3 linked regions of the Caenorhabditis elegans genome follow. The protein of the gene in region 2 purifies or fractionates together with the protein of the main gene of each other region. This does not show direct contact. Each region holds a gene or a part of one and is shown on either strand. Other genes may lie near its edges.

What was found.
Region 1: the proteins of ost-1 (region 2) and fbxc-14 fractionate together in Caenorhabditis elegans (co-fractionation; one large-scale study listed by BioGRID). This does not show direct contact.
Region 3: the proteins of ost-1 (region 2) and trd-1 fractionate together in Caenorhabditis elegans (co-fractionation; one large-scale study listed by BioGRID). This does not show direct contact.

What each region holds. Positions count from the first base shown.
Region 1 is NC_003280.10:971,127-976,112, reverse strand, and holds fbxc-14 (F-box domain-containing protein), read right to left. Parts: upstream 1,815-4,986; 5' UTR 1,811-1,814; coding exon 1,740-1,810; intron 1,542-1,739; coding exon 798-1,541; intron 741-797; coding exon 602-740; 3' UTR 568-601; downstream 1-567. Other genes in the region: C32B5.15 (F-box domain-containing protein), read left to right, coding at 3,163-3,506, 4,683-4,986.
Region 2 is NC_003282.8:1,104,016-1,112,411, forward strand, and holds ost-1 (SPARC), read left to right. Parts: upstream 1-3,380; 5' UTR 3,381-3,433; coding exon 3,434-3,496; intron 3,497-3,545; coding exon 3,546-3,618; intron 3,619-4,797; coding exon 4,798-4,931; intron 4,932-5,199; coding exon 5,200-5,406; intron 5,407-5,880; coding exon 5,881-6,027; intron 6,028-6,381; coding exon 6,382-6,552; 3' UTR 6,553-6,857; downstream 6,858-8,396. Other genes in the region: C44B12.9 (uncharacterized protein), read right to left, coding at 531-594; C44B12.3 (8 kDa glycoprotein), read left to right, coding at 758-818, 872-1,071; srx-14 (7TM GPCR serpentine receptor class x (Srx) domain-containing protein), read right to left, coding at 7,447-7,543, 7,962-8,396. UniProt on the Caenorhabditis elegans protein: Has a high affinity for collagen. Affects nematode body morphology and mobility. Essential for C.elegans development and muscle function.
Region 3 is NC_003281.10:7,383,204-7,391,702, forward strand, and holds trd-1 (Tetratricopeptide repeat-containing protein trd-1), read left to right. Parts: upstream 1-3,025; coding exon 3,026-3,088; intron 3,089-3,912; coding exon 3,913-4,000; intron 4,001-4,417; exon of another isoform or gene 4,418-4,508; intron 4,509-4,754; coding exon 4,755-5,002; intron 5,003-5,460; coding exon 5,461-6,097; intron 6,098-6,307; coding exon 6,308-6,714; intron 6,715-6,759; coding exon 6,760-7,251; intron 7,252-7,311; coding exon 7,312-7,545; intron 7,546-7,592; coding exon 7,593-7,739; 3' UTR 7,740-7,932; downstream 7,933-8,499. Other genes in the region: T20B12.3 (nucleolar complex associated 4), read left to right, coding at 3-618; tbp-1 (TATA-box-binding protein), read left to right, coding at 836-1,043, 1,668-2,230, 2,283-2,447, 2,493-2,579. UniProt on the Caenorhabditis elegans protein: Developmental protein required for cell fate determination in both the germline and seam cells of the developing epidermis.

The DNA.
Region 1 (4,986 bases), on a different chromosome or scaffold from region 2:
TTAAGAGGGGCTTTTGGCTCAACTGGGAAGAGCTAAGAGGAAAAATTGTATGGAGCAATAGGCCAGGGGTTCGATCCCTAACGAGGCATCACATTTTTATTATTTTTTATTATGTTCAAGGGTGATTTTGATGAAATTTTGGTTTCAGCCTAGGAAAATGTTAAGCATTTCAATGTTAGGATCAACTGGTAAGAGGCTAGAATGACCAAGAGAACCCCAATGTAATTCTTTCGACCCGTTGACAATTAGAGCAGATTTGCAGCAGCACAGTGGTGGTCAGCTGGACGTGGTCAAATAACTTGATCAGGTGTCCCTGAACCAGATCTCTAGCTTCAGAATTATCCTGACCTGGCATGCAGAAGCTTTTGATCGAGTATCTTCTGAAAGTGGCTCGACCCTTGCAAAATCTTCTTTTTTGGGATGGAGAGGTTTTAGAAAAGTTGTAAAAAGTACGAATCTTTCTAAACGAAAACTATATCAGACCTGCCAGATGTCTGCCGCTGTGATATTTTTCCAAAAACACAGAAATCCGATAGTTCTCAAGTCACAAGACAAAACAGTTTCATAGGAATTCTTTCATTTTTTCAACGATTAGTTGTTCTCAAAAAAAAGTAGGGAAAAGTCTTCGCCGCTCAATTTTGAAACCCAAAATCCATGCATCTCCCTGCTGTATCTTGCTGATAACCAATTTCGAGGTGCTGTTCTTCTTGATGGTGAGCTGATTGGAACGTCGAGAAGATCTGAAAGTATTCAACTTTAGATTTTTTTTGAAAATATTCAACCTTAGATTAACTTACCCATCTTCCAACATCGCTTTATACCTCTTCCTACTCCTCTCCATAACTACAAATACAGCTCCCCTAGTTGTGTCAAATGTATAATAAGTTCCATTTTCTATATCACTATCACCCATAAAGTATTCTATAACAATTGAAAAGCAGAAGTGTCCCCTTTCGAAATGTGCAGTTGTAACTCTCCGATTTTGCAGGAACGTCAGTACCCGCCTGAGGTTGTGTGGAGCTGTGGTTGGAGCTTTGAAGTGCCATTTTTTAGTTTTTCGGTTTACTATTGATGTAATTGGATTGTTATTAGTCTTCAGAAGGCTTTTAAATGGGAGTTTTATCAAGCTTAATGGTAGACAAGAGTTTGCAATTAGTGAACTAGCAGCCGACAAGCTCCGGGAATCAAAAACCTCCAAAACATTGACATTGATCCTGGCAGCTAACGGAACCCGTAGAGGATTTTCACAAGAAATTGCAAGTTGGCCCACTTTCACAGTTCTTCCTTTAAAGAGTTTGTCGAGAAGGTACTTCATAGTTTTGGTCAGATTATTTCTACTATTCCTTAGTTCGACTGTACCACTGATACTTGGGAATTGATTGATATCAAATTGATAATCAACTTTTCTATCGGTAACTGTAATTTGACAGGTTACCCGGTTAACTGTCACGCTGTTATCTGTTATCTTGAGATAGTGGATGTAGGAAGGGGTTGATTTTTCTAAGGTATGAATTGAAGGGCAGACGAGGCAGAGTTGGATTCTGAAATATACTTATAGTTAGGTAGGTTTAGCTATGTATTAAAAAATTGTGTGGCACTTGAGCAAAAAGCTTGAAACATAATGTGAGCTGTGATTTGGATGAATTTCCTCTATACCCAAAAATTTCAACTCCGAAAACTCCGTCATTCTCAAAACTCAACCCTCTAAATACGTAACTTTTCCAAGCCAAAATACTCACCTCAAACTTGGATCCAAATGCTTCAATATGAACTTCAATACTTGGTAGCTTACTGGTTTTGAATTTAACATAGTGTGCAGGTGTAACGACGAGAATGGCACAGCAAGACCCCACTGAGATTATATCGATTTTATATTGGCTGGAAATTAGGGCGCATTTGCAGCTGGGGTCATTTCGCTGAGCAAAAGGGTGGTACGGTTATTTAGGACAGATGGTGTTTTGTCTAAAAAAACAGGTAGGCAAGATCTAGTCAGAGTTTATAGGGCCTGGGGCCCTATAAACTCTCGGCAGTTATTAAGCTTTCAATTCTAAATTTCACTCTGTTGAACAGTAGACTCGTAAAAAAAAAGTGCTCAGAAAATCTAGTCCATCAGACCGCTCTAATTTTTGCAAATTAGATTTCATAAGAAGAATCTATACATGTTGCTAGTTAAAGGTGGAGTAGCGCCAGTGGGGAAATTGCTTTAAAACATGCCTATGGTACCACAATGATCAAATTCCTATTTGAATTACCGCCAATAGTTCGATGTTCGATGGAGCGCGCTTGCATTATTTTAACTTTTATTTATTAATTTTTCTTATTTTTAATTGATTTTTCATGTTTTTTTTTGAGTAATTTTACTGGAGATTTATCGAAAAATTCAAGATAAATGTAGATTGTTCACTAAAAATAATTGAAAACAGAGATATCACGTTTTTCAACGACGTTGAGCCTGAAATAATCTATTTCAAAGATTTAGATTCGAAATTTTAAATTTAAAATAATGCAAGCGCGCTCCATCGAACATCGAACTATTGGCGGTAATTCAAATAGGAATTTGATGCAATTCGAGATTTTTTCAATTTTCAAAAAATCATATAAAATTTAGAAATTTTTTTTTTAATTTTTACTATGATATTTGGTCATTGTGGTACCATAGGCATGTTTTAAAGCAATTCCCCCACTGGCGCTACTCCACCTTTAACCGTTTTCAGCGAAAAATTGGTCCTGCAAGTTGACGCCTCCCGCAATTCCATAGACCAGCGGGAGACTGCATCGGTGGGAAGACGCAATACGTCACATGGTTGACCCCTCGGTTGGCCAGCACACAGCTCCATATTTTTGAAGTTTTTAGGTACCACCAAATGTTGTATGAATGTTATATTCATGGTGCTTTATCGTTTTTTTCCCCGAAAATGTTGAAGTTCAAATCAAGATGAATAAAACATCGAGGCTTTAATCGGTTTTGCTCTGTACTCAATGGCTTTATTTTCAATCGCTGTTTTTTATGAGCCTGGCACTTATACAATTCTATTGATAATTAATCCTGCACTATCGCTATCACTATGCACAATTTTTTTTTTCAAAAAAAAACAATTACTTTTGTATTGAATTTTCTCTTTTCTCTATAAGTTGCTGCTTACCATTTCCTCTTATTACATAATGTATATAGTTTTTTTTTTCAGAATGCCCTTCAACCTCTTCACCTTTCCACTTGTGATCCGTAGGCAAATTCCTCAGGAAATGAGCTTCATCGACGTGCTTAACTTTTCATTTTGCTCTTCCAAAACTGAAACGTTGGCCAGAAAATCAATAAAAAAAGGATACTCGTCGATGATCCATTCGTGTTCGAATTTATCCGTTGAACGTTCTTACGTCATGCAAATGAAGGACATTAATAATTTAAGTGAACACTTATCGTTTTTAATTAGAGAAGCGTCAAGAGAAGACATTATTCAGCAAGAAAAGTGGTTTAAATTGAAAATTGGACAAACAATGGTTTACTGGTCAGTTCCTTACGTTTTGAAAATATACTAGCCTGATTATCAGCGTTTTTGAGTTCTCTTAAGCGCAGCCGAGCTCAATCAAAATTTTCAAAAACTGTACTTTGAAAAGTTCTGACCGAAAGACTGTAAGTATAGGGTATCCAATATGTCCATATTACACATGTAATACAAAAGTCTTACTGTAAATACAATGCTGGCCAAAAAGATATGCACAAACGGTTTTTCGTTTTTTTTTTTGGCTTTGTTTGAATGGCCATAATTGAAAAACTAAACGTTGTTTTCGAAAACTGTCAACTAACAAAATGCTGGTCATTATGTTGTTCAAATTGTCTGATAAGTATTATTTTACAAAAATTGCCTTGTAAAACAGTACAGCGACAGACATCTGGCTAGTCGATTTTTGACTGAAATCGTCTGTAGCTCAAGAAAAAATCGCTTCCATCTTTAGTAAAAATTATTTCATTAATACAATTATTTTCATGGAAGCAATTTTTATCGAGTTACAGACAATTTCAGATTCAAGGTTAAAAACCGACCCGCCATATGTTTGCCGCTGTAATGTTTTGCAAGGCAGTTTTTGTAAAATAATATTGGTCAGGAAATGTCAACAACATAATGGCCAACATTGTGTTAGTTGCCGGTTTTCGAAAATAATGATTGCTTTTGATTATTCATTTGTTTTTTTGAAGAATCAATAATTTATCATAGTTATGTAGGTCGTTTCACGCCTGAAAACAATACTCTGAAAAGTCCTATCATTTTTATGAAATATGATCCACAACAGTTTGGAATATATAGGCTTAGTTGTATATCATTCACTTCCCGGCGGGTTGAGGACAAAGTTATTATATGCATAGGGCATAAATGTTTATGAAGATCATGTTATTAATTCAATTATTCTCATGGAAGCGATTTTTTCTTGAGTTACAGACGATTTCAGATTCGAGGTCAAAAATCGACCAGCCAGATGTCTGTCGCTGTACCGTTTTTCAGGGCAGTTTTTGTAAAATAATATCGGTCAGGCAATGTCAACAACATAATGACCAACGTTTTGTTAGTTGACCGTTTTCGAAAATAATGATTAGCTTTTAAGTTATGGTTAATTTAACACAGTCCAAAATTCACGAAGCCCCGTTTGTGGCCAGCACAGTAAATAATTTTAATTTTGCATTTCAGCGCAACTCCGTGCCATGAAGCCAGCAGTATAATCAAATTTTATTTCAATGGATCAACCTTAAAAGTAGTTCACGAAATGCTTCGAAACACGATTTTGAACCTCCACCAAACACATCTCAAATCAAATATAATATTTTTTTGGAAGCAAGGAATGAGTCAACAAAAGATTCACCATTTCTCAAATATTCGAAATGTCAACCACATTATTCTAAGTGAAATGGTTAAGCTAGATACAATCCCAATCACCTTTCTAGATCAAATCTTTTCGACATGGCCGAACTTAGGCAGTTTGTCGTTGTATCCA
Region 2 (8,396 bases):
CCGCGTCTCCCCATGCTCGGTACAATTCCCCACATTTATTATTGTCTTACAGGTCCAGCAAGTGCTGCCGTAGCGGATAACATCACGGTTATCCGGCCAGAACCGCTGCCAAAGACAACGACTAGACTTGCCAACGTTCATCACTGCACGCCGCAAGTGCGCTCCACCGGATGGCGCGCGGATCTGAATTGCCGGCGCCAACTCTAATTGTCATCATTCTGGAATGTTCTTGGCTCCTCCCAATTCCCCTATAAAAGGAGCAGAAACGCTCATTCGAGGCCTTTTCCTTGACTTTTAACTCGTTGTCACGTGTTCGCTGTTTGCCCACAACAACCTGCTTTTCTGTAAATTACTTTATTAACTAATAAACCTGCTCATGACAAGCCATTCTTATTGTATTTGTCCGTGTGGAGTACACGACTTTCCCAGGAGTTGTCCGGCGGGCGATTGCCAATGGATCGCAAAAAATTCAATGCGGAAGACCAGAACCCCGTGCACCCTTGCTACCTATTCCCTCCTATTCCGCTCACCTTTCGTTAGTGCTGTGATCAGTGTCACGAATATGGCTGAGAATAAAAGGAACTGCTTCAACATGATGCTTCGGTGATTTGAATCGAAAAGGAACACTCAATTTTGAAAGGATAGTTTTATACTCGGCCGTAAAACGCTAAAGTTATAGGCCATAAAGTTCCGTTGGAGTTTATGAGGCATCCGGGGGCAAAATATATAAACATTCAACCGTTGATAGCCGATGAAAATGTTAAAACAACTATTTGTTCTTGTTGGGCTCCTGGTGGTGTTTTCGGCTGCAGAAGAGTGTAAGAGATCTCCAATTACTACATTCTTTTTCACTGCTAAAATCTATTTCCAGCTGATCACCATTTTCTTCAAAGTATGATCAAGTTCGGAATCGACAAGAAGTGGGCTCAAATGATCAGCGGAATTGAGGAGAAACACGAGAAAGACAAAGCACTGCTCGAAAAGAAGTATAATGATGAATTGGCAGCTGTTGATAAGAGTATTCCACCAGAGCAGTACAAGCATATGATGGATTGGTATCGTCATGGTTAATACATAATTTTTTGAAATATTGGAATAAATTTTTTCCTAGCCTATCCCAGCCGAAAACCCTGAAAATTTTAACTTGGAACTTTGGCTCATTCGAGCCTTCTGTCCAACAGCTGTCATTATCTACTCATCATCATCGTCCTTTCCTTCTTTAAACAACCGCCCAAATTCCAAAGAGGTCGTCGCCTAAAAGTATATGAAAAAGAAGAAGTCGAAGAAGACAGCTGTCGTTGAGAGGGGTCACCCCGAGCCAACTCATCGGGGAGCTCAAACATCTAAACAATCGATGGGTGTTGTTATGGAATACTGATGGAAAAATGTGAAGGGTTTCGATAAAAACTATCTCTCTATTTCTATGAGCAATAAACAAAACACATCTGGTTCACACAATTTCCGTAGGTTTTCATTTCAATGAGCATTTTTGTGTGAACCCATTTCGAAGCGGTTACACGGGGTTCTGACCTTCCTTATTGAATTTTTCGCGCTCCAATGACAATCGGCCGCCGGACAACGTGTGGGAAAGTCGACAAATACATTTAGTTTTACAACTAATAACCGAATCGAGCCGCGACGCGACACGCAACGCGCCGTAAATGAAGATATGGCCGAGCCAAAATGACCTAGTTCGGCAAACTCTTCCATTTCAATTTTACAAAAAACTATTATCATAACACATAATCTCCTCGAAATTCCTTATATTTTGTCAGTTGAAAACTTTTTTCTACCTCTTCTCCCCGCCGAGAAAACGGCTCCTGAAATAACTAACGGGAAAGAGCGCAGAGGGAAGAGAGACGCAGGCTGCGCGCGCGCTCTGCGTCTCCCCTCACCCCACACTCTCTCGCCGCACAATCTTAAATCTTAAAAAATTCATAACTCAGTGGAGAGAAGAGCTACAAAAATGTTGTCAACGAACAAAATGTAGGAATTGTTACGTAGAATAGATTGTTAGTTGACAACTTTTCGATAACTTATATTCTCAATGAGATATGAACAATTGAAGATTTCCTCACTAACAGAAGGCAGAACTCAATATCGATCAAAAGTGCAACATATTTTTACACTTTGTCGGCTGCCACGATCTGTAAAAAATATGAAAAAGCACAGCGTTTTGAAGTAAACAGGACACCGACAGCTGTTGTTAGTACGGATGTAATTTGATAGCGGTCAACTGGAATGGAAAATGCGTTGCTACAGGACAAAACTACTTGCAGTGACCTGTGGAATTTATTTAGGAACGAACAGGAGTATAAGGAGCATATTAAGTCAAAACTTATGGGAGCAGAGATTCGCTGCACCATGTTTCGAATTACAAATTTAACGGTTTTTGTGCCATCAAAATAAGTTCCACTACAAATAGTTTACAATTCATTGATAACTTTTGTTTTTTCTGACCATTTTCCAGCTGCTCGGAAATTTTGAAAACAGTAAAAGTAGAAGGTAAAAATATGAAAAATATTCATTCCAAATTTTGTAAATAAAAAATAAATGAAGCTTTGATGCAACATGTCTGTCAGCTTATACCACAGATACAATTAGTGATATAAAAATACTATAACTATGTAGAAAGGTAGAGAATAAAGATGATAAGTGTTTTTCAGTTGACAATTTTTGAATAAAACTAACGACAATCGAGATATCAGCTGTCAAAGTAGAGATTTTTCCTTACGCTGCACATGGGTCTCCTTTCAAGGATCATATCTTGATTACAATTGAGTGTATAAACATGATTCTAACAACAAATTTATATATGAGAATATGTCAAACATTTTTGTAGTTGACAGTTTTTGAACAAAACAGAAGACAATCGAGATATCAGCTGTTAAAGTATACATTTTCCCTTACGATGCACCATGTCTTAAATTTCAACTTTGGAGGATCATATCATGGTTACAATTATTTTTAATCGTATGAAAATGATTGAAACAATAAAATTAAATGCATATATAAGAATATGTCACACATTTTGTTAGTTGATAACTTTTAAACAAAAAAGAAAAAACCGAGATATGAGCCTTTAAATGGAGAACTTTCCTAACGATGCACCATGTCTTAGATCTCAACTTTGGTGGTTTATATCTTGGAGAAAACCAAGAACAATGTTGAAGATGAACTATAAAAAAGTGCACATTATTTAATTTTAAAGTTTATTGCACAATCCAATTAATATTAGTCACTTCTCCATAGTCCCTTCTCCCAATAAATTGCACTTTCGATAATTCCAATCAATCTTGTGTCAATTTTCTCTGTCTTTCTTTTCCACCGGGCCGATATTGTGCAACATTGTGCCAGCCGTCTCCTCACATGCTCCGCCCAGATCTGTGTGCTCGGTGAGCCCCCAGCGGGTCCTCTTCATTCGCCGTCCAAGATGCGTTACGCTCTTGCCGCTTGTCTCCTGCTTCTGGCAGCCTCGTCTTTCGTTGACGCCAAGGTATGGGCTTTGAGGGGATTTTTTCAGCGAATTAATGAGAAATTTTCAGAAAAAGAAGATCGCTGATGATGAGCTCGGAGAGCTCCTCGACAACATCGATGCTGATGAGGAGAAGAAGAGTGGTGAGTAAACTTGAATACGGTATATATCGGCAATTATCAGTTCTATTCAAAATCTGCCAACTAACGAATTAATGCAAATTTCATAAGCTACAGCTTGTCAAAATTTAGCTATCGCAGCTGACACAAGCGTTAGTGCTGCTCACATATTTTCCAACAACTTGTTAGCTGACAACGTTTTGATAACTTGCACAGTCATGTCCCTTTTCAATTTTAAACCGGTGAATCTCAAGAATCATAGGCGTTACTAAAAGAACTACAATTAGTTTCTTAAACAAATTCTTGATAAAACCAAAAGCGATCCTTCGATGCACCATGCTTCTAACTTTAGTTGACGAGTTATAAAATTAATAAATATCCTATAGCAAAGTAACTAAAACTTTGTAAAACTTCCTACAAAATTCAAAAAGTTACGGCATTTTCGAAAACCTAATCAATTATCATCCATCATCCATAGTCCCAATCCTCAAGAAACCCAAAGAGTTTAAAACACATTCGAAACCCCTTCCGACTGATAATGATGATGATTCATAAACTGCCAATGTCCCAATCAATCTTGTTGCATCTGGCCAGCTAGCCGCCAGCTCACGGAGCCATCTCCTGGGCTCCTGCAGTGTAAAGTTGGAGAACCTTCGAAGATGCTCGAAGCTTTGTGCATTTCACGTCATGTGGTGTTGTAATATGAAGGCTGCTGCGGCGGCGGCGGCTCCGTGAGCAAGAGAGGAAAACGAGCACTAATATTTATGGGGGAACTTAGATGGGGTAGCTAGAGATGAAAGTGCTGAAAATAGATCAGGCGTGGGCAATTTGTAGGAAATTTTGTGAGAAATCGTTTGTTAGCGGACAATTTTTCACTAACTTTAATGATTGCCAAAAAATTCCGGTTTTAAATTAGGCTGCCGAACTTTTGATATAAATACCTCCGCAACCATTAGAGCTATCAAAGAGTTTTCAACCAACAATTTTAGGAAATTTTGTGAGCAATATTTTGTTAGTTGGCAATTTTTGAATAGCTTTACTGGTTGGCGAGCTATACGCTTCGGCGATTTCGCCAACTTCCGACCCCTGTAGCTCTGCCAGTTTCAGTACTATCAAATTTTTGCCAACTGGCAATATATTACAAACTCTTGGAAAATCATTTTACAGTTCTCAAACTCTTCTGAAAATTACTATATTTTGCAGTAGAGCCAGCCAAGAACCCATGCGAGGACCACCAGTGCGGATGGGGAAAGGAATGTGTCGTCGGAAAGAAGGGAGAACCAACTTGTGAGTGCATCTCAAAGTGCCCAGAACTCGACGGAGACCCGATGGATAAGGTGGGACCTAACAAAATGTTAAAGCTTGAAGTTTTAACAGTACTTTGTTAACTGATAACTTTTTTTTAGCTCTGCTGGTTGCGGAATTATAATTTTTTTAAACTAGAACTTTGACAAGTTCTAACTCCTCAGCCGTTACAGCTATCAAAAATTTGCTAACTACTAAAATGTAGCTTAAAACATGTTCTACAAGTTGTTAATCAATAATTTTTTAAAATCTAGCAATCTAACAATGTTACTCCTCTTCAAACAAAAGTTATCATTCCAGGTGTGCGCCAACAACAACCAAACCTTCACCTCCCTCTGTGACCTCTACCGTGAGAGATGCTTGTGCAAGAGAAAGTCCAAGGAGTGCTCCAAGGCTTTCAACGCCAAAGTCCACTTGGAATACCTCGGAGAATGCAAGAAGCTTGATGAGTGCACCGAAGAGCACATGGCTCAATTCCCAGAACGCATGGCTGACTGGCTCTTCCAGGTGGGGGTTGAAAGAGGCTAATAGGTGCCATTAAAAAACTGACAAATGGCACATTAACGTAAAAGTTGTTTGAAGCAGTTTGTTAGTTGACAATATTTTGTTAACTTCAAAACTAGCAGAGTTGCGGGGATTTGAAATTTCAAAAATTTCAAAACAAAAAATTTAGTAGATTTTTTTTTCAAGTTGGAATATCTCAGCAACCAGGGTTGCTTTTTAAAAAATTGTTTTCGAGAAATTGTAGCAAATTTTATGAAATTTAAATATTTTTAAACAAATTTTGTGTGTTCCAACTGATTGTCGAGTTATCGCTCCGCAAATTCGGCAACTCAAAAAACCCACAAAAAACGAAAAATGAAAAAAAAAAAACGTTTTTTCAAACCGATCCAACTCCGCTTGTTTCAAAGCTAGCGAAATTTTGTCAACTGAAGAAACACCATAAATTACTTAAATTTTATTAATCTCAATTTGTTTCAGGTCATGAAGGAGCTTAAGAAGAGACGTGAGCTCCACAAGCTCGAGTGGGAAGAGCTCCTCTCCGAGGCCGAGAACGACGACGAGAAGAAGCACGTGTACCCAGTTATCTGGAAGTTCTGCGAGCTTGACACCAAGCCACATGATAAGGTTAGTAAGAAGCTTGGTTTAAAAAAAAAACGATATATTTAAAAAAGCTAAAATTGAAATTTTGAGAAATAAAAAAATTCAAGCCAAAAAAATTTTAATTTATAAAAAATCAAAACTTATCAATTAATAAATTTAGACACAATGTTAAAAAAAAATATTCAGAATTAAAAAAAATCAGAAAATGTTTTATTTCCCAAAAAGAAAACATTTTTTGAAAGTTTTTTTAAAACCCTACTGTAAATTTTAAAAAATTAAAAAAAAACATTTTCGAAAATTTTTAAATTTTAATTTTCCACCCAAACCTAAAATTTTCTGAATTTTTTGAATTTCCCACTCTAATCCCACTATTTTCAGTCCGTCTCCCACCACGAGCTCATTCCAATCACTGCTCCAGTCATCCCAATGGAATCCTGCATCAAGCCATTCCTCGAGGGATGCGACGCCAACAATGACGGAAACATTTCAATTAAGGAATGGGGAAAATGCTTGGGACTTAAGGAGGGAGAGATCCAAGAGAGATGCTAAATAATTATCTAATTAAAAGTTTAAAAAATTCGAAAAAAAAAAACTTTCCCAAAAAAAATTCTAATCCAGCTTGCCGAACTGCCAACTTGCTCACATGCTAGAAATATCTGTAAATTACAGATTTCTAGGCCATGAACCCCCTATTTAACCTCAAATATCGATTTTTGAATTTTTTTTGCTTTGCTGAATCCAATGTGCCAAATCTCAGTTGAACATAATGATATCCTACTGATTCTTTTTAATTTTTTTCTATAATTTTCAATTTTAATAATAAATGTTTATTTTATTGATAATTACGGCAATTTGTGAGAGGAAAAAATTGAAAAAAAAAGAATTTCAGAAAAAATTCCAAAATATCAAAAAAAAACCACTTCCAGATTTTTTCCATATAACTCGGAAACCCTAGAAGCTACCAAAAAGTTGTAAACAAACAAAATGTAGCTCTGACAATTTGCAACATTTTCATAGTTGATATGTTTTTGCTAACATGTGTGGTTGCCGACTTATATCCCTCGACATGTAGACAACCAAAAAAATTGCGCTTCTCAAAAAAAAATCAATACGTATCAACTTTTGTTACATGTGCATTATAGTGCATCATAGGTCGGTGATTTGGAGAGCCTCCATGATGAGATCCATGCTGATCCACGTGGATCCATGACATTGTTGGAGGATGCACGTGTTCCGGGTGGTGCTCGGCGAGCAACTTTCGGTGAAAGTGAGTGAAAACCAGGATGGCGCTGAGATGATCAAGTTTAACTACCGTTTAACACATAAACCATAGAAAAATCTTTAAAACTGACCGAGTTATAGAGTTTCGACAAATTATGAAAAATAACTGGAAATAAAAAATGAGCTGTAATTTAGTCAATTTCGGTATGAGAAAAATATTATTTATATTTTTGAAATTAGCAAGACAAGGCACTTTAAATATGTATAATCATGACTAGGTTTCGACAATTCAAATTTTGGGCCCAAATTGGCCTGAAGCCTGAAATAGTACTAAAATTATTGTGGTAGTTGTTAAAAAAGTTTACATCTCGATTTATACATTAAAGTTAGTTTTAAATTATCCCATATAAACTCGACATTTTATAGGCATTCTTTAGACAGTTTCAGACAGTTTTAGGTCGGTTTAAGCCGATTTAGGCCATTTTCTGAAACCTACTCATGATTATACTCATCTGAATCGTCTTGACTAGCTGATTACAAATAATTAAAATTTTGTGGGCTCTGTAATAAAAATAAACAAGTTATGGTATCTTTAGTTGTTTTTGAAAATTCAAGAAATTTAGAAATTCTTCGAAAATCCATAACTTTCTCCAATTTTGTGATTTGTCTATGATTTTTGTGTCATTTTGAAGCTAATTTTCTATACTTTTCATGAAAAATATTTTAAGCCAACTGACCTGTCAAAAAGGTGATAAACCTGCCAACTCAGGCTGGTGAGTGCATATTTTTTCCATTGCTGCTTAACCAAACCAGTGCAAAAGCTTGATAATGTGGCGAAAATCAAAAATCCTAAATTTCTAGCGAAAATCATTAAAAATAGCCGGAATTCTTTAGGATTTCTCAAATTTTTCCTTTTGACCACTGCGAAAATCCATGTGGCGCAGTTTCCAACTACAGTAACCACGAGCAGAAGGTCACTGAGCAGCTGGAGCACCAGAAGCCTGTAGGTGGCACAGGATTTTTTTGTAGGCGCCGACCATTGCCACGTGGCAGGCTGGTAGGCGATAAAGCAGGTCTCGTAGGCAAAAAGTGGGCCAATTTCGAAAAAGCTCAGAGAAAATATGAAAATTAGGCAGAAAATGCAGTTTTGGCGGGAGAATATCGATTGATTT
Region 3 (8,499 bases), on a different chromosome or scaffold from region 2:
AGCCATCTCCCAACATACATCACTGCTTCGTTCCTCAAACGACTCTCCCGATGCCTTCTTCTTGCTCCAATTGATGCTCAGGAACCAATTCTTGGATTAATTAGAAATCTTGTGATTAGACATCCAAACTGTTCTGAATTGGTTCATCGTGAGGTTCCTCAGACTCTTTACGATGATCCTTTCGACAATGATGAGACAGATTTACACAAAACTCGCGCATTGGAATCAAGTCTTTGGGAGATGAAACTTCTTCAATGTCACTGGAATCAAAGTGTCAGAAAACGAGCTCATTTCGTTGATAAATCGATTCAAAAAATTGAGTCTTACGTTCGATTCCGATGCACCGACGAGTTATTCTCTGTAAACATGGCAAAATCATTTGGCGGAGAGGATGGAGAAGCTGAAAAATATCGAAAACTGCAAGACGGGGATGAAGACGAAGAGGGAACAGGAAAGCCGGAACCGAAGAAAGCTCGTAGAAAAGGATTTGGTGGGAAATTCGCTCCAAAACACGAAGAAAAAGTCACAAGAGCAGTCGGTGTGAACTCTGAAGCGCCGAAAGGAATTCTTGATAGACAAGTTCCAATCATCGATGTTCCAACTTTATGGAAAATTTAATCAGATTTTTTGTTACAGTTATTGTTGTTCCACTTTTGTTGTTGTTTTTCCGTTTTCTCGTTTTTATATTTTAAATTTTCAAAATAGTACTGTTGTTTTTCTTTTAAAATAATTATTCCAGTGTTTTATTCACTGAAATCATATTTAAATTAAATATCTTGTTCCAATTTCTTATCCATTTTTCTTTTTTTGATTAAAAATATTTTTACAGTTCACAATGAACCTTAACAGCCCAGCTGTATCAATGCTTGGCGGTGACACCCCTGCACATGGTGGACCGAATTCCGTACTTGGAGGTCAAGGACCCTCATCAATTCTCACGGGACACGGTCCCAACTCTGTAATGGGACCAAACTCGATTCTTGGACCTGGAAGTGTTCTCAATCCACAATCAATTCAACCAATGCAATCACAACAAATGCACAGTAAGTTATTTGTGGAAAACTCATTTCAGGGTTTTTGCTTGAAAAGGATAAAACTAGCCCAAAATTAACTAATTTTTTTTAAAGAGACTGCTCATAAAATTTTCACTATTTTTTATGGCATGACAAAAAGTAAATTAACAAGAAATCAGAATTTTGCTGAATCCCGAGACTTCTATCACAGCAGCTGAATTACAGATTTTTTGAATTATCACCCTTTATAGAATATTTTGTTAGTTTTTCGTTAATTTCGGCAAATTTTTATGTCGTTAGGCGTCTAAAAATGAACATAATTGGCATGTCGATCATAAATGGGACTGAATCGACGATGTGAAGCGAGATAAACAACTAAATTATAAAATTATAAATTGTTCAATAAAATACACTAATTAAAAAAAACTGTATCCTAACTGATGCGACAAGGAAAAGTTAGCGAAATTTCAGATTTAAGCGAAATTAATACGTTTTTTTTTCGAAATTTTAATATTGTACAGTTTAAAAAATTTATGAAAAAATCTGATGAACTCTCTGTGCACGTTTATTTTAGCCGTGACCAGTCTTTCAACTTTATAACCTTTTTTCAGTCTTAAAGCCGTTTGTCAAAATTAAAGATTTATATTATTTCAGGCCTTCAAGGTTCTTCAATGCAAATGCATTCACATCTCGCCAACTCCAATCTCAACTTGAACATAAATCCAGCTTCAGTCGGACCTGATCGTAATCCTGGATCAGTTATGCATCACAATTTGGACATCAATCCTCCATCAGTTGCATATCAGAATTTGACAGTTCCAATGACACCACTTGCATATTCTGTATATGATCGAGATGCTCTGACACATCAGGCTCCGGCAAGTAACATCGCTGCCACAATGGTTCCAGCAACTCCAGCAAGTCAATTGGATATTCCGATGCCAGCTCTTCAGAACATTGTCTCTACAGTCAATTTGGGAGTTCAATTGGATTTGAAGAAGATTGCATTGCACGCGAGAAACGCCGAATACAATCCAAAACGTTTCGCAGCAGTCATTATGAGAATTCGTGAACCAAGAACAACTGCTTTAATTTTTTCGAGTGGAAAAATGGTGTGCACTGGTGCGAAGTCAGAAGAAGCAAGTCGATTGGCAGCACGAAAATATGCGAGAATTGTTCAAAAGTTGGGATTTCAGGCGAAATTTACCGAATTTATGGTAAGTGTTTCTGGAAAAAGGTCACAAAATCATTTGAATAATTTTTTTGTAGGTTCAAAACATGGTTGGTTCTTGTGATGTTCGTTTTCCGATTCAACTTGAAGGATTGTGCATTACTCACTCTCAGTTCAGTACTTACGAACCAGAATTGTTCCCTGGATTAATTTATCGTATGGTCAAACCAAGAGTTGTGCTCCTTATTTTTGTGTCTGGAAAAGTGAGTTTAAGTTATGAAATAACCTTTTCTATGTTAAATTTTCAGGTTGTTATCACTGGAGCAAAAACAAAGAGGGACATTGACGAAGCATTCGGGCAGATTTATCCAATCTTGAAGGGATTCAAAAAATAACTTTCTTTTATTAAAATTGTTTTCATTCTTCTTTATTTTCAAATTTTTGTTTCATTTTAAGCCTTCCCTTATCCCTAAACCCGGATCTCGTATAATACAGGTAAAGTAGCTTCATTTTAGACATCTATGCACTTTAGAACCACTTTCTTCAGTCTACCAATCCGATAAAATCGTTTCGAATTCAATAAGCTTTCGATTAATTACTGCTCACCATTTCTCCCCGTACCTTGTATAATTTTGTTGATGTTATTTTTTTTTGAAGAAGTGACATTATCAATGTTCTTTTCAACTTTCCTCTTGTTTTTCAAATTTCTCCCGTATTATTGAGAATAAAGTATTAAAATAGTTGTTGTTCAATCTACGAAATTGAATTTCTGATAATTTCTGTAATATATTTATTCATATTTCAAATTTATAACATTTCAGATTGAAATTTATCGTTTTAGATGATTCCAGCTGATATTATTGCATCAATTGCTGGATTAGTAAATGAAAAAGATATTGAAAAGGTATTTCATTGGTTTCTACATTTTCAGATATAAAAGAATATTTCTTAACCCGACAAAACTCGGATTTCGATCTCACTGTCAATTCTGTTTTTAAAAAAGTAATTAAGTTTCGAATTTAGTAGAATTTCTCCAAAATTTTTTTGCCAAAAGACTAGGAAAATTTAAAAAAAACAAACAAACTGAAATTTTAAAGGTTTAGTGAAAAAACTCCGAAAGAGAAATTGAAATTAGTGAAAACACAAGAAAACCAGAAAGAAAGTCGATTTTAATTTATTTTGAATCCGTAACAACTCAAAAACTTGAGCAAAAGTTTCGAGACCCGAAGAACTCGAGGGATGTCCAACTGGGGGGATTACCAACTCGGGGGATTGGCCCCGCCCACAGAACCGTGGCTTGCAATACGCCCATTTTTGCAACTGCCGCACGGTTTTAAAATTATTTTTCTTGTTAATTCTCGCTCTATTGAGAAAAATACAGTTTTAAAACCGTGCGGCAGTTGCAGAAATGGGCGTATTGCAAGCCACGGTTCTGTGGGCGGGGCCAATCCCCCGAGTTGCTAATCCCCCCAATTGGACATCCCCCGAGTTCTTCGGGTCTCAAAGTTTCAAATTAAAAAAAACAACACTAGAACCATAAACATCACATGTTGCTAAAGAATATCCGCGAAAAATGTAGAATAGTTTTTTTTGGATTTTTTTCCAAAAACTAATTTTTCGTCAAAATACAAAAAAAAAACACATGGTTATAAGATCGCTCACTTTTGCGCAAACAGTTTTTTGAAAATATAAAGATTCATAGTATCCGAATGAATTCAATTTTTTCAGATCACTTCTGAGTATCAGGACAACATTTGGGAATTCGTGGAATCACTTGTGACTCATGTTCTTGCCAGTAATCATGTTGGATATTCTGGTAAGAATGAATATTTTAACACCCTAAAAATATTAAAACGAGATAGAAGTTTGGAAAAAAAATTCAATTACAAAACTTATTTTTTTTAATTCAAAAATCGTACAGTAGAAATAATAGTATAAGGTTCGATGTGCTCTGTGAGCCAGAAGCTGCAAAAAAGAAGTGCAACAGGCTGGCTTCTCTGTGCTCTCCAGGCGCCGGTCGGTGTATGGGCTCGGCGCTCGGCGCCCGGAGCCTCTGTCTCTGTTGTGTTACTTCGTGTGTGCATGTGCTCTGGAGAATAAGGAAAACGAAGAGAAAAAAGCAAAGACGAAACGAAAAAAAAACGGGGGAAAAAGCAAGCACATGCATGCGAAAAGTGTGTTGAAACTGGAGAACTTCTCGTGCTATGTGGAGCCAACGACAGCGAAACGAGTCGGCGGCGATGGTTGGGTGGATGAGGGCTTCGTCTAGTGGGAATCGACGGTTTGGTTCGATTCTCTACCCCTTCCACGACGCATTGATTTTAGGTTAGGCGGTTTTGCAATAATGAGATAGGATTCCTCTAGGGATGAGGATCAAAATAAATCTATTTTTGAATTTTTCACAAAAAATCAACTAAAAGTCGTAACTGTAGCAAATCGTCAAAAATTGTAGGCATCCTGAAGAAACCTGGCACCAAAAAATCAGAAGGACTGAAAAAAACCACTCATTATTTTTGAATTTGGATTTTCTCAAGTTTCAAAAGAACAGAAAATTTTCAAGCTATTTTCAGATTATAACACATCCTCGTTCATATCAGAAGAACTCGCTCGCCAAAAATTATCATGTGGTCTGAATATACCAAATGCTGTGTCAAAGTCCTTATGGGCACTACACTTGGCACATGAACACGTGGAAAAATTGAAAGATCTTTCTGATATACCTCCAATTGGATATCGTGTTATACTTGAGTTCTACCTAGTTTGGCAACAGCTTCTCATTGATCCAGAGGAAACTATTCGCACTGAAATTGAACCAATTGTAAGTTAAAAAATATATAAATGTGGATAAAAAGGTTATACTTTTTTTTTTTTTTTTTTTTTTTTTGAAAAAAATTTAAAATTTATTCAAAAAAAAATCAGACTTCTTTCTTGGCTTTTTTCTACGGTTTCGACGAGGATGTTTCAGTTGATCCTCCACATTCTTCTTTGATTGTTTGCATTCCTTCGATACCGTTCAGTTTCTTCTTTCTTCATGTCTTCTTTGCCTGCAGGTTTACAAACCGCACTTTTTGAATGAAGAACTGTCAGAATCACGAACACGATTGTAGTGATGATTCCGATACCTCCGAAGACAGCCGAAACTATCATTAGCATGCTAGATGGCAAAATAAAGTGCTTTTCACTCATCTTTTTGATGAATGAGCGTTTTTAAAAACTCGAAAATACTTGAAATTTATGAGAAAATTTTTATTCAGTTTAGAAACTAATATTTTTCAGATGGAGAAGCTTAGAGTTTTGATTGCCGAAGAAAATGATGCATTCACTTCAGAAGATCGATGTCAGATACAACTCGAGATGGCAGCTGTACGGTTTCAATTTTATGAATACGACAAAGCAGATAACCTGATTAAAAGTGCAAGTGAAGAATGTCAACTAAACATGGATTTGAGTGGAATGATGGGAAAACGAACACGGTTCCAACAGAGAGATATTGCACAACTAGTTTTGATTCATAAGGATCCATCAACTACTGGAACACCTCTTCCTCCAGATTCTGATATTCCGCAGAGTTTGGATATGAATGATGATACTCTTCTTGAACAAGTTGCTATTACTGAACAAGGAGCAAGAGTTGATGGAAGAACACTGAATGCATGCCAACTTTCGTGTCTGTTATGGATTGCTCGACATGAATCAGCAACTCATCGTCATGATGTATTAGTTCACGAACGATGTTCACCAGTGTTGGATACTGTAATTGCAGCAAGAAGATATTGGAGTATTCAGGCAGCTGCTCTTTTGGCTCGTGCAGAACTTGAAAGAGGTCGAGTGAGACAAGTGGATCGTTCATGTACACAATCTGAATTGGTGGTAAAGTTACAACAAGGAGTTGATGATCCAGTTCTTATTAAAGGTGATTACTGAACTTTTATATTCAATGGAGAAGTTAAAAAAAGGGTAGAGCTCGAAAAATAATTTTTTTTTGAAAACAAAAAAAAAGTGTTTTACAATAATGAGAAGTTTTGCAAGTTTTATATTTTTATAGAGTTAAAAAAATTTCGATCATATATTTCCACGATAGTTACAATCAAGAAATCATCGAAAAAATATTTCAAAATTTTAGATCGTCTTCTCCGCACGTCATATATCCTCGCATCTGGTCTCACTCCATTTTGGCAATCTTCTGTTCTTCTGGCTGGTATTCTCAATTCTCTTGGATGTACTTCTGAAGCTTTGCTCATTCTGGAAAAGCTTGAAATGTGGGACGGGGTTATTGACTGCTACAAGCAACTCGGACAAATGGACAAGGCTGAAACTCTTATCCGCCGTTTAATTGAGCAGAAACCAAATGACTCTATGCTTCATGTATACTTGGGAGATATCACAAGAAATTTGGAGTATTTCACAAAAGCTATCGAATTATCTGATGATCGGAATGCAAGGGCTCATCGATCACTTGGACATCTCCTTCTAATGGATAAAAAGTTTGAGGAGGCCTATAAACATTTAAGAAGAAGTCTGGAATTACAGGTTACTGATAAAACTAATTATATTTTTATACAACTTTTTTTTCAGCCAATTCAATTAGGAACCTGGTTCAATGCTGGCTACTGTGCATGGAAACTTGAAAATTTTAAAGAATCCACTCAATGTTACCATAGATGTGTATCCCTTCAACCTGATCATTTCGAAGCTTGGAATAATCTATCAGCTGCCTACATTCGACATGGACAGAAGCCAAAAGCATGGAAACTTCTACAAGAAGCTCTTAAATACAACTACGAACATCCGAATGTATGGGAGAACTATATGCTTTTATCAGTAGATGTTGGAGAATTTTCTCAAGCAATTCAAGCCTATCATCGTCTTTTGGATATGAATAAACGAGGAGCTGACGATGAAGTTTTGGAATTAATTGCTCAAACACTTTTAAGAAGAGAAGCTGAAATTTCAATGGATGAGAGCGAGGATAAAGCTCAAAATGAAGCAGAAAATCGGAAGGAAAAAGAAGAAATGATCAAGTTGTTGGCCAGAATCTCAGCGAATCATCAAACTTTATCCCCAAAAGTAATTTTTTATCGAAAATTTAAAACTTTCTAAAAAAAAAAAAATTAAATTAAATTTCAGACTCTCCGTGTCTACGCTCTTCTCAAGAAGCCATCTGTTTTATCATCGGAAACTCGAACCGAATTTGAAAAGTATGTGCGATTACTGGAGAAGAGTCTAGCTGCAGCAAATGGAAAACTGACGTGGCCAAAAGAAGAGAAATTGGCGTTGGAAGTTGTTGAAACTGCTGTACGATTAGCCGAAGATCGTCTAGAGTTGGCAAAGTTCATCGCATCGGATACGTCTGTGAAAGAAGTAAAATAGATCATGTTTCCGTTATGTATCTAAATTCATTTTTACAGGCATCCGCTAAAGTTCGTTTATCTCTTCGTGGCATTCTTACTCGTCTTGATAAGGATTCAGGAAGCCGCGTGTCTGGTGATGAGACGGAGAAACTTCAGGAGATCGTAGAAGTTGCCAAAAGTCTTCTGGATAGTGTGGCAATTTGAATCTCCAAAAATTCAAAATTTAATAAAAATATTCCCTGTTAATCTTTGATTTTCTCCCAGTGAACGATGTTGTTTATTTTGTTTTTGTTCTAATCTTAATTCAGTTGTTATTGTTTTGTTTTTCTTGTTCTGTTTCAAGTAATTTAATTCATTTAAATTTTTTTTTAGTAATTCAAATGAAAATTGATAGATACATTGAAAACTACACATACCCTGATTTTTTTCGCGGGGAGACTGAAGAAAATGGCACCGGAGCGGCTTTTTACTTGAAAATTGGTCAGTAGAAATGAGAAAAACGAAGAAAAACAAAGCAAATTACCATTTTGAAAGAGCGATCGAGAGTTTTTCAGAAAAAATTATTTTCTTGAAATTTTTTGAAAAGAAAAACTGACAATTTTTCTTTCCTGATTTTATTAAATTATTACCTGCTTGCGAAAAATTGTGATTTTTAACTTTGAATCACGGCTTTGGGTCTTGGCACGAGCCAAACTTTCCAGCTACCGTACACTGGAATATGGTAGATTTTTATTTTCATTTTCGCAATTTTCTGTTCAAATTGCAGTTTTAAATTTTAGAAAATGGATAAAGCAAAGAGAATGGTGAACTGCAGACAAAGTGTTAAATACTCGCAGAGCGGGCACTGTAGCTAAAAAGTTTCGCTCATCGCAGGGCCCACTGCCATGATTTTTGCGGAGATTTGATCGCAAGTTTTAGCATCCCAGTAATAAAATAATATGAGAAAATTCGATGATTTTTGAAC